3 linked regions of the Arabidopsis thaliana genome follow. The protein of the gene in region 3 interacts with the protein of the main gene of each other region in a pairwise test. Each region holds a gene or a part of one and is shown on either strand. Other genes may lie near its edges. The genes, in order: CPC, TRY and GL3.

Evidence for each region.
Region 1: the proteins of GL3 (region 3) and CPC interact in a two-hybrid assay, tested with the Arabidopsis thaliana proteins (4 studies listed by BioGRID, with this or other methods).
Region 2: the proteins of GL3 (region 3) and TRY interact in a two-hybrid assay, tested with the Arabidopsis thaliana proteins (3 studies listed by BioGRID).

Annotation. Positions count from the first base shown.
Region 1 is NC_003071.7:19,048,667-19,052,425, forward strand, and holds CPC (Homeodomain-like superfamily protein), read right to left. Parts: upstream 1,704-3,759; 5' UTR 1,520-1,703; coding exon 1,441-1,519; intron 1,368-1,440; coding exon 1,280-1,367; intron 767-1,279; coding exon 649-766; 3' UTR 355-648; downstream 1-354. UniProt on the Arabidopsis thaliana protein: Transcription factor. Determines the fate of epidermal cell differentiation. Represses trichome development by lateral inhibition.
Region 2 is NC_003076.8:21,580,892-21,584,650, forward strand, and holds TRY (Homeodomain-like superfamily protein), read left to right. Parts: upstream 1-1,722; 5' UTR 1,723-2,021; coding exon 2,022-2,085; intron 2,086-2,378; coding exon 2,379-2,466; intron 2,467-2,900; coding exon 2,901-3,069; 3' UTR 3,070-3,352; downstream 3,353-3,759. UniProt on the Arabidopsis thaliana protein: Transcription factor. Involved in epidermal cell fate specification. Negative regulator of trichome development, including endoreplication, by lateral inhibition involving intercellular interactions.
Region 3 is NC_003076.8:16,526,996-16,530,754, reverse strand, and holds the start of GL3 (basic helix-loop-helix (bHLH) DNA-binding superfamily protein), read right to left. Parts: upstream 1,666-3,759; 5' UTR 1,458-1,665; coding exon of another isoform or gene 1,456-1,457; 5' UTR 1,323-1,455; coding exon 1,177-1,322; intron 836-1,176; coding exon 554-835; intron 1-553. UniProt on the Arabidopsis thaliana protein: Transcription activator, when associated with MYB75/PAP1, MYB90/PAP2 or TT2. Involved in epidermal cell fate specification.

The sequences.
Region 1 (3,759 bases), on a different chromosome or scaffold from region 3:
ATAATAACAGTTGCATACACTTGCATTAGGCCACACATACAGTGAAACGGTATGATTGTTTTAAACCAAATATCTAAACGGCATGCATGTGTCTCTACTGTTGTAAAATCGTTGACCGTGGAAACATTTTATCTTAAAAGTCTCAACTTAATAATGGGCTTTCTTTATGGCCCATATAAATGAGCTACCTCGTTGACCCATATCGTAGGCCACTTACAGATTCTCATTTCCGATCACGAAAAAATAAACCATCTTGGGTTCAGTTTAAGCATTCCCCTATGCAGAAGAAATAAGAGAGACCTTTCACCTTTGTTTGTTTGTATGAAAGAACAACAGTAATTTTTTTTTGGATAAAATAGCGAACATAGTTAAATTTAAAATTTACAGTCGATCTTAGGAAAACAGACTTTAGAAAAGTGTGATTTATCTCATTAAATCACAGCTACTAATACTATACTTCTATAGAGGGATATATCATGTGTCGATGGAGGCTGGTAAAAATTTGAAATTCCTAAGCAATTTTTTCTTCTTATATATATAGATAATTATACATTCCAAAATAGTAATTCAAGGACAGGTACATTTCCTTTTTTTCTTGTCTTGTGAATTAAGGAGAGGAAAATTTTCTTTTAATCCAAACAAAAAAAATCATTTCCTAAAAAAGTCTCTTCGTCTGTTGGCAAAAACGACGCCGTGTTTCATAAGCCAATATCTCTCTATCTCCTCCGGCGTCCGTCCCGGGATCCTTCCGGCGATCAACTCCCACCTACGCGCCACGTAGGATAGGCTAACAGTCAGTGTTGAGGAACTTACACTTAACCAAATACCTTTTATTCCGATAAAAACCGCATAAAGTTTGTAATTCGGTTAAAATTCTATGGAACCGAACCAAAATCGTAATTTACACTTTGACTTCATACAAACATGCTGTAATCAAAATTGAACCAAACTAGCCAAAGTGAGTTCTGACATAAATTAAGAATATGTTTTGCTAAAGAATCATATATAAAAAAAGAAACTGAAAACGAAATCTTGATTAGGTTTTGCTATTTGAACAACTAAAACAAAAAACAGAGAATAATAACAAGATCAAAAATCAGGCTGAACACAGTCATTGACAGCTCGGTAAGTTAGACCCAATAATATAATAGAAAAACCAAGAAAATGCATAAATAAACGACCGACTTTGAGATCAAAATCTAAGCAGATTCGACAAAACATGAAAGACCAAAAAAAAGAGAAAGCAACAAGATGGATCGAGAGAGAAAGAGTCTCTAACCTGTCGCCAACGAGTTTATACATCCGAGAAATGAGATCTTCTTCTTCTTCTGACATCTTCACAGCTTCCCATTCGATACTACTCACCTCTGCGAAACAAACATACAAAATCAGACTCAAACCGATCAAAAAGATATAGAGAGAAACAAAGAGAAATCAGACCTTCGGAACAAGAAGCCTTGGCTTTGCTCTGTCTCCGTCGTCGTTTATCCATTTTTTCCGCCTTGTCTGAACGAAACATCGAACTAATCTGAAGACACGAAACACACAGAGAAAGAGAGAGAGAAAGAGAATAAATCTCGAGAAACAAGAAGAAATGATTTCCTCACGAGGGGAAGGATTAATAGTAGCTTTTTTTTTGTTGGGTTCTCGGAAAAGAAAAGAGTGAGAGAGAGAGGGGCTCGAAAAGGAAAAGAAAATCAAACTGATTATTATATAACTGCGCATGTCTGATTAATCCTAGAATAATTATTTATTTAATACTTATCATCATCCTCCATTATTTAAATATTGACTGATTAAGAAATAATATAATTCGATTGAGCTAAAGAAAACGAATCTGTAAACTGTAGTGTTTCACTGTGTGTGTGTGTGTGTTGCTTCCAACGGCCTTTAGTTCATAGAGAAAGAAGAACGACAGATACAACCATAACTACTTATTTTAAATCCTTTGACTTGCGGTTGTAAAAATTCCTCGTTTACAGACAGTTGGAGAAATAGTAGCTTCTCCTCTGGCTTTGACTTTCGAAATGACCAGTATGTCCCTTATATGTGTTCTTGTTTCTAGTTTATTTGCTATTCTACATTAAATATACATTCTGTCAAAGCTACTTATTTAAAAATATAACTATTCAACAATAACAAAAAAATTCATTTGTTGCAAGAGAAAACAAATAAGGACTGTGATATAAAGTTCAGGAATTCGATTTGAAAGTTTGATATAAGAGGAAAGTTTGGTAGAAGAGAACAGCAAAACGGGAAAATAATATTATAATCAGAAGAGGGTAAAAAAAGAAATAGTTAGTTCGAGAACATATCTCTCTCTATGTATCTTTCATATATTCCTTTGGTCTGATGGTAATGTCGTCAAAAGTGGGCACAACACCCGTATGGTTGTGTGCCTCTACTGGTCCGATGTGGTCCGAAAACGTACTTGTTTTTCTTCATTAATTATATATTTTTGATTACAAATATGCTTTAACCACATCTCGAGACCGGTTTCATTACATATTTCAAGGTTTCATCTATTCATTTTTATATCACAAATGGAATTTTTGACTAAATGGAGTGAGACGAAAGAGCAAAGAAGCACATTTGTTGTATACAAAGCTTTGACTCGCAAAAAAAAAGGCATGAATCAGACAAGTATCTAACAACAATTATTTATGACATGTGGTGGTTAAAGCTATTTAATAACCCAAAAAGACTTCGAAGAATATATGAGATTAGCCCCCCTTTTTTCATTTTCTTAAAAAGATTTGTATAAGATCTGCAGTGCGAAGGTGAGATACGTCTATATATTCTATAAGATGAATAGCTGCTCTAGCTACTTTTTTTGTGTGGTACATGTTATGATAAATTGAAAACGTTTAATCTATGCATTTTTAAGTACATGATCTAACAGTTTATAGAGATAAGTTGCATGTTTTCGTACATTATATGCTAATGAAAACAGTTATGTTGAATGTTAGTTGCTGCATGTTGTTGTATGGGTTTTTTCATGACGAAGTGGTTAAAGCGTTATATGTTGCCCTAATAAGCCATGGGCCTATTCAAAAACAATATGGGCTTATTGATTATTTTAAATTGCTATCGGCCAGCTTGAGCAGTTACTTGAAAAGGCCCATGAATGTTTACGGAGAGTACAACACGTTGACACGCACAACAACAGAAAAAGAAAACACAAAAGCTTATCAATCAATCAAATCTTTAATTATATTATTTGGTCGGTTTAAGAAGTGTTTACGTGGTTATCAACATTAACTTTTGAATTGAATTATACGAAACGGCAAAAAGATTATCAAAAGTGTTGACTTGTGAGCTACCGTTTTTGCCCCTTAAAAGTCTCAAATTCCAAGGCGATAAATGGTCAAGCACCCTCCACGCTCCTCCTGTCTTTTATTGCCACGTGTCTACCACCGTTCCCGTCTGAATTTGTCAGCATCTGTATGCCACGCGGCGGCCAGTTTCCCCGACGTTAATTTCTCCGGTAATTATCACACGTGTCGTGTAGTCAATGGATATTAACTTCGAGCTTATTTTATGGAGTTTTTAATTGTTTTCAATTAGCGTTTTTTTCTCATTGGTGGGTCCACAGATTAATGGAACTAACGAAATATAATTGGTGAATGAAAATGTCTGTTTCATTGAATTCATGCGTTTCTATTAAAGAAGTCACAGTTTTTAAAATGGGTTCACGTGGTCGAGTACTTAGCTCGTGAGCCGGCTTCAGTGTCCATAGTGTATTACTCAGCTTTGTAA
Region 2 (3,759 bases), 5.1 Mb from region 3:
ATAATCAAATAATAGAAAAGGTAATCACATCTTTGTCCTTTTGTACCAGAATTTTAGACATTAGTTTAGCTATGCAAACCAATTTCGTTCTTTTAGCTCCAAACTAAAGACACATTTTCATTGATGCATTCTTCGATATCGAATTGATTTGTTTATCAAAAGTTTATGAAAATCATTTATATTGCTATATTGTATTTAAGCTTCGAGTAAAGAGATATTTTACCAACTAGGCTTCCTATTAAAAAAATTCCAAATCTATCACATAATACACAGTTTCTATGCAATGAGGATGATGCGATATACATCACATGACTCGCCTCACACGATGTCTTTCGCCGTAGACTACAGATTTCTTCCGTTTAATCTTTTATCCAATTATGAATTATCTGGTAGGGTACTTTATATTTTGAAAATCTCTTTCGTGAGAATATGATAGTAATTGTATACTTTCTTACAAAATTTATTGAGAAGCGTACTTTATATATGATGTTTCTCACTCGAATTAAATACGTTAGTTTAATGGGTCGATTCAGATTTATAATAGATTTAAATATTTCGAAGAAAACGCAAATCAGGGATTTTGGTTGTATCATGTGTGAGAGATTGAATTTCTCCAGAAGCACTCATTAAATCGCGTGTGTAAGGAGTTGCCATACAGCGTCGTATGTAATGTCTTAGTCACTGTTCTAGAATTAAAACATATGTCAAATGTAGAATTAAAAAACAGGGGTTAAAATGTTAAATTATTCGGAGAAGTGGAATTATTATATTAAAAACATTGTGTGATTTTGGGATAAAATCTGAATCATGTTTTTTATTGTGCCAAAAAATTTCTGTTTCAACCTCTTCGTGGAGATGAAAGAAAAGTCAATCGGGAATGAGACTTCTTGTATAACGAATGAAAATATGAACATGTTGATTAATGAATTAATTAACATACGTACTATATTAAGTGGGAATATTAGGTATAGGCCTTCGATTTTCCGTTTTGTTTGGTTTTTTCGATTTTAATAATATTTCTCTAAATTAAAATAAATTTTAGTTTGGTTTATTTAAAATATTAATAAAATAATATAAATAACTATCTAATTAATATATTAAAAAGTATTTTCTATATATATTGATATAAATATTATTCCCATGTTTTATATTGGGTGACGTTATCTTTTAAGTAAAGTTGTAAGATATCTAACTTATTCCTACATTATAATAACTATCAAAATAAAATAACTAATTGTAGTGACAATGATGACTATCAAAATATGTATGTGTTTTGGCTCAAACATAGCGTTTAATAACAAACACAATGGACAATTTTAATAAATTTGATCGATTAGATTTTGTTTCATTTTCATGCACTAGATTAAGGTTCGAATTAGATTCATTTTAGTGTATATAGTGAAACTAATTTGTTACTATATGGAAAAAAAAATAAGTTTATTTTTGGTTCAAGAATTTTTATTCGGTACGGTTTGGTGTGTATGTCCAACCCTGAAAAAAAAACTTGAAAAACTAATAACCTAATAACAACTAATTTTCTTAGAAATACAAATTGGACTTGAATACAAAAATGGAAAGAACAACAACAAATCAATAACTAAAACATCGTTGAACTTGCATCTGCCAAATAAAAATCAATAAATCCCATTATTCTAAAAAGATAGTAGGTTTAGAAAAATTGAATAAATGGAAAAAAAAAATTGTTAGGATCTACGAATGAGAACAAAGTTAGCCTTCAAAATACTTACAAATCCCAATAAAAGACTTCATCTCCATGTGTATTTGAGTGTCAACGACAAGTCTACACAAAGGGTAAGAGGTCAACAAGACCACACAACACTTCTTACTATTAGTTTTGCAAAGGCCGTTCGTTGGACATTTCCTTCTCTCTCCTCCCCTCTTCTTCTTCTTGTTCGCTCTATAAACTCTCATCTCTCACGTCTTTTTTTCCTTACATTCTCCAAACTCAAAATTTCATCACATTAATTTCTCTCTATTTTTCTTTTCTTACTTCAATAGTAATGGATAACACTGACCGTCGTCGCCGTCGTAAGCAACACAAAATCGCCCTCCATGACTCTGAAGGTACCTCTCTATTCTCTATATATTTTCTATTTCCTAAATCCAATTTTATTAAACATCTTGAAAATAAATTTAGTTCCTAGCTAGGATCATATTCTCTTTGTATATATTCGTTAAAACGAGGGATACGTTTAATTACTTCTAAATTAGTTACACCTCGTGCTGACTAAAAGACTTATCAAGATTAGTTTCTAGTTTTAACAAAAATTAATATCTTTTTAAAAAGTTTATATTTGTCTTTTTTTGTTAGTTTAATATTGTTTTGAGTTTAATTGGTTTAATATTGTTATTTGCAGAAGTGAGCAGTATCGAATGGGAGTTTATCAACATGACTGAACAAGAAGAAGATCTCATCTTTCGAATGTACAGACTTGTCGGTGATAGGTAACAATTTCTTCTTCTTCTACTTTTTCTAAGATTATCCCAGCATAAAATAAATTTTATATTTTAGACATGTCTAGCTAAAACAATTTAATATGCAGGTATATACAATTTTACATACGTTAATTTAAGCATATGTACTTTATAACATATGTACAGTGTACCATGTTGTAGGGGAAGCACATGGTGTCCACTAATTTTCTAAAAAAAGACATTTAATTAAAGCTATCACGTTCATTAAATTATATATGTACACACATATATATAGAGATAAAAATAAGAACCTAATTTACTATTCTTATCAGTACGTACTCATGTATATAAATGCTTGGCTGGCTCAAAAATGGAAATTTTTGAACTGACAAATTATATTTTATTATGAAAATATAAATGCTAATGCTTGGGATAAAAATGTTTTTTTTTTTCTTTTGAATTAGGTGGGATTTGATAGCAGGAAGAGTTCCTGGAAGACAACCAGAGGAGATAGAGAGATATTGGATAATGAGAAACAGTGAAGGCTTTGCTGATAAACGACGCCAGCTTCACTCATCTTCCCACAAACATACCAAGCCTCACCGTCCTCGCTTTTCTATCTATCCTTCCTAGTGTTTTTGTTTTTAAGCCAACGAAAAAAGAAAATAAAAAAATTATAATAGATGTATAGTAGTGGTTCTTGTTAGTTTGAAGAATTCATCATCTATTGTTTTCTTTTTGTTGTTATTTCATTTATAATTTTTATAGTATAGGTTTCATTTGGTAATCAACTTTAATCCATGCGGTTAGGTTTTTTTATTTTCTCGTCTACGACTTTTATATCCACAACTAGATTTTAATCCGCGGTATATCGCGGTATAATTTACTTTTTAAAGTTAATATATATTAAAACTTGCAAATTTTATTTTTATAAAATATTTTTATTTTACAGTTTATAATTGTTATTAAGTAACGCTATACAACGAATCCATGAGACAATTGTTAAAAAACTGAAGTTTTAACCCTTACTAAAACAGCATATTAATAATATTTTAAAAATTTATAAATATTGATTCAAATACATCCACCATATAACTCAATTCCAAAATAAAATCTGTTCTGTAATTTCTTTACCCATCCCGTGATTTATTTTTAAAGTAGTAATTTTAAAAATTTGAGAATTATTTATTACATATAAAAGTTTTACAAATTGTATCATTCTCTAATACATTTATATTTTATAGTTTAATTTTATATATAGTAACATTTTATATTTTATATTCTCTAATATATTTTATATTCTCTAATACATCAGTAATTAGA
Region 3 (3,759 bases):
AGCAGCAATGCATTCTAAGCTTAATTTTTCCACATTTTTTCTTCCTAACATATTCATAATTATTGAAAGTTAATTAGCCGTGTTCATAAAGACCAAAATGAAACGAATTTTTTAATTAATCCGGACAGAAACAAACTTTTGTGATGATAAATAAACCGAACTAAACTCGAATCGAACACAAATATACTGCAACCAAACCGAATTAATAAAATTTATTAGATGTAGAATAGAGTTAAACATACTAATGCATATATATACACATTATTATTTAAAATTAATTATGTTTTAACTTTTTCTTTTGTAATCTGAAACCGACCAAATCCGGACATTAAATTTTGAAACCAAACTGAAACTAAAAAATTGGTTCTAGCTCATACTTTTTTCCTGCAGAACCCTGAAATCTAACAAACCTAAACTGAACCATAAAAGTCGAAATCCTTGGACCTACTAGTATTAAAAGTATATTTTGGCACGTTGTTTAAAACTGGCAAAGATCAACACGATCATGACACATAATAAATGTCAATGCTGATAGAGGAAAAGACGGAATTACCCTTCACCAATGTTGAAGACGAAAGACATACAAACCAAATAGTACCACTCGGTGTCGGCGAGATCTTCCGGTGAAAGTGCGGCGGCGGAAGCTCGTCTGGTGACTTGAGATCCGGCAGCAACGCCTGAAGAAGAAGATTCAGCGACGGAGAGAGACTCGTAAAGCTCGCTAAGCTGCTCGCTCCTCCGTAGACCAAGCTGATCAGCTTTGATCTCCGAAGCTTGAATCGTCTTCCTCGTTTTGATATCTCCATTATAGTATCCATCTCCCCATTCTAAAACTCTTTTTATATATAGAAAAACAAAAACAAATATCAAATCGAATAAAGAAAACAAACAAAACATTTTCTTGAACTAATCAAGAACTTCAAGAAGAAGAGAAAAAAAATTGAACTTTTAAAGAAGATCAAGAAACCTTATATGAGTTTATAAGAAAAAATCAATGGAATCAAGAAAAACCTAGAGAACCTTGTCTTGAGTTGTAGAACTAAACACTAGTTTTGATTTGAAGTGAACACATAAGTTTTATCTAATTTTCCAATTAAAATCAAGAAATTTACTTCATCAATATCTTTCAAAATCTCCAATATCTAGTGTTCAATGAATATGATTTAAGAAACTTACCCAGACTGAGAAGCAGAGACAGACCAAAAGATACCATAACTCCATTGAATGTTTCGAACTGAAACTGCGAGGTGTTTCTTCAGATTCTCTGGCACAGTTGTTCTGTTTTGTCCGGTAGCCATTGTTTCTTCATCCCTATATCCCATGAAACCACACACAGGGAAAAAGAAAAGAAAAGAAAAAAATCAAACTTTTTGTCCTGATTTAGAAAGAAATAAGATACTATGTTAAATTTATAGCCTAAAAAAGAAAGAAAAAGGGAAACTTGTAACTCTTTACATTTTTTTTGAAGTATCAGAGAGGATACAAACTAGATGTTAAGGTTTTTGTGTTTGTCATTTGATGAAACAGTTGCCGTTTTCGCCGGAACAAACAGAGAAATGTTTGAGAGTTTTTTTTTTCTTTGGTCACTCCATACTTTTTTTTTATTAATGTTGTTTTGAATATTAATTTTGTTGTTGTTTGAGCTTGAACTCGAAAGACTAGAAGAACTGTCTACGAATCCTTTTTTTCTTTGAATATGACGATATCATCTTTGTTGTGTACAGAACAAAACACAAGACATTTATGACGAAAATAAAAAGTACTTATAATTTTTTAATGATTTATGAGAAAAAAAAAGGATACAAAAGTAGAGGAAAAAAGCAAAACGCTGATGTTGATTGATTGTTCCTCTTTTTATCTTGAAGTTGATTGATTAGTTCCTCATTTGGGAAGAACAACCTTTTTTTAAGACAATGAACTACAATGTCCATTGTTGTGGTCTTGTCTTCAATAAATTCTCTATTCAGTCTCTTTGTGGTTCTAGAGATCTCTTTTTTTTGGGAATATTGAATCATTGTGTGTCTCTTCCAACACTGATTTTAAAGTTAAAATGTTATCACGTCAAGGCTGAACTTTTCACCCATCTATTCTTGAAAAAAAATGTTTCCCTCACTTAATATCCCCACTGATACCAAAAAAAAAAAATTTGTTTCCTTGACTATTAGATCTTTGAAGCAATGTTGACTAGAATACCATTAGCATGTGATCCAAGTCCAATCTAACCAGCATCGTATGATTTCTTTCATTTTGTATAATCTAATCAGTCTTATTACTATTTGAGTGATCGAAATATATTATTGTCGGTGAGTAACATCGTTTTATGAATTTTCCAAAAGTACACAAAACGACCAAAAGTATAATGTCTCAAATCAGAGTATATGATTAACATATATAATAATAGTAAAATCATCAGCTTTTTACTTGGTGTCAAAACGAAGCTAATCGCTATGAATCTAAATTATAGTCACAAACACAATAATAGATAAATTGAGGAGGAAAGAGATAATATAAGAACAGTCTTTACTAAAATTGGGAAACACAAAGAAAGACACGAAATTAATGTTTGGCCTCGAGGAGTTCCCCCAATACGTACAGACACAATCTTAATTTTTGCAATCACATCTTTAAAATGAATAAAAATGTTATGGACATTTTCGACGTTGATTCTCCCTATAGTCATATACTTACAATATTATTATATTTCAAAATTCTCTTATACTATTAAACCTATATTTTCGAAGTATTTATGCAACTATTTAAAATATAACTTTAAATAAAACCCTGCTAAATGGACCATTAGTACTTATTATTTTCCTTTTCTGACATCTAGAAAAGAGAGAGACGTTGACGTCAGAAAACATTAAAATATATATACACGTTCGGTCCCCTACAAGATCAAAGTCTAAACATTCGTAGTGCTGTTGATCGGAGGTTTCGGTAAATTAATCGGATGTGTTGATGTTTGAGGGTAATATTTAGGAAATTTGGTATAGCTTTCGATACAACAATATAAAATTTGTCTGATCCAAACTTATGTAACACTAATATATATTGTTATTTTCAATCAGAATACTAACTCAAGTTAAATGGGGAATTCAACTCCTAATCCGATGAAGCCTTGCTGGTTTGGATCAAGACGTCATCTTCACTTCAACAACTCCATCTCCTGACTCCTATCTTTCGCTATGGTTTGCTAATTTCCAACAAAATTAGACCACATCTTTACTGATCTTACTAGAACACTCGTCTCTATATGTTTATCTTATTTGATTGTATCTGAGCATTAAGGCTCCTCTGTAAGACCTCTTTCATATATATAAACGGAACTAATTAAAAAAAGAAGTAATATATATATATATATAGGGTATATACTATGTTGTTATTTTCTTGACATAGACGGCACAGAAGAAATAATGTTGTAAACACGGCCATTAAAATCATAAACTTTTGGGCATGTACGAGAAGATGTGAGAGATTCAATGCTATGTATAGGACAATGGAAGCATGACACTATTTTGCTATTAACTGGTTTGTATCCTCTCTTCTATGTTAAAAAACTGTATGTTTTCCCATATACTAAATGACATATGGATATAGCTGAGAAAATAATATTTTAATTTGGATATACTATATTGGTTTAACAATGAAACATAAGTGGTTCCACTTTCCACCTCATAAGGCATATTATCATCATCTTATATGTATCTCAATTCTCAAGGTTCAGAAAAAGGTAAGATAGTTCATCTAAGTCAATGGAAG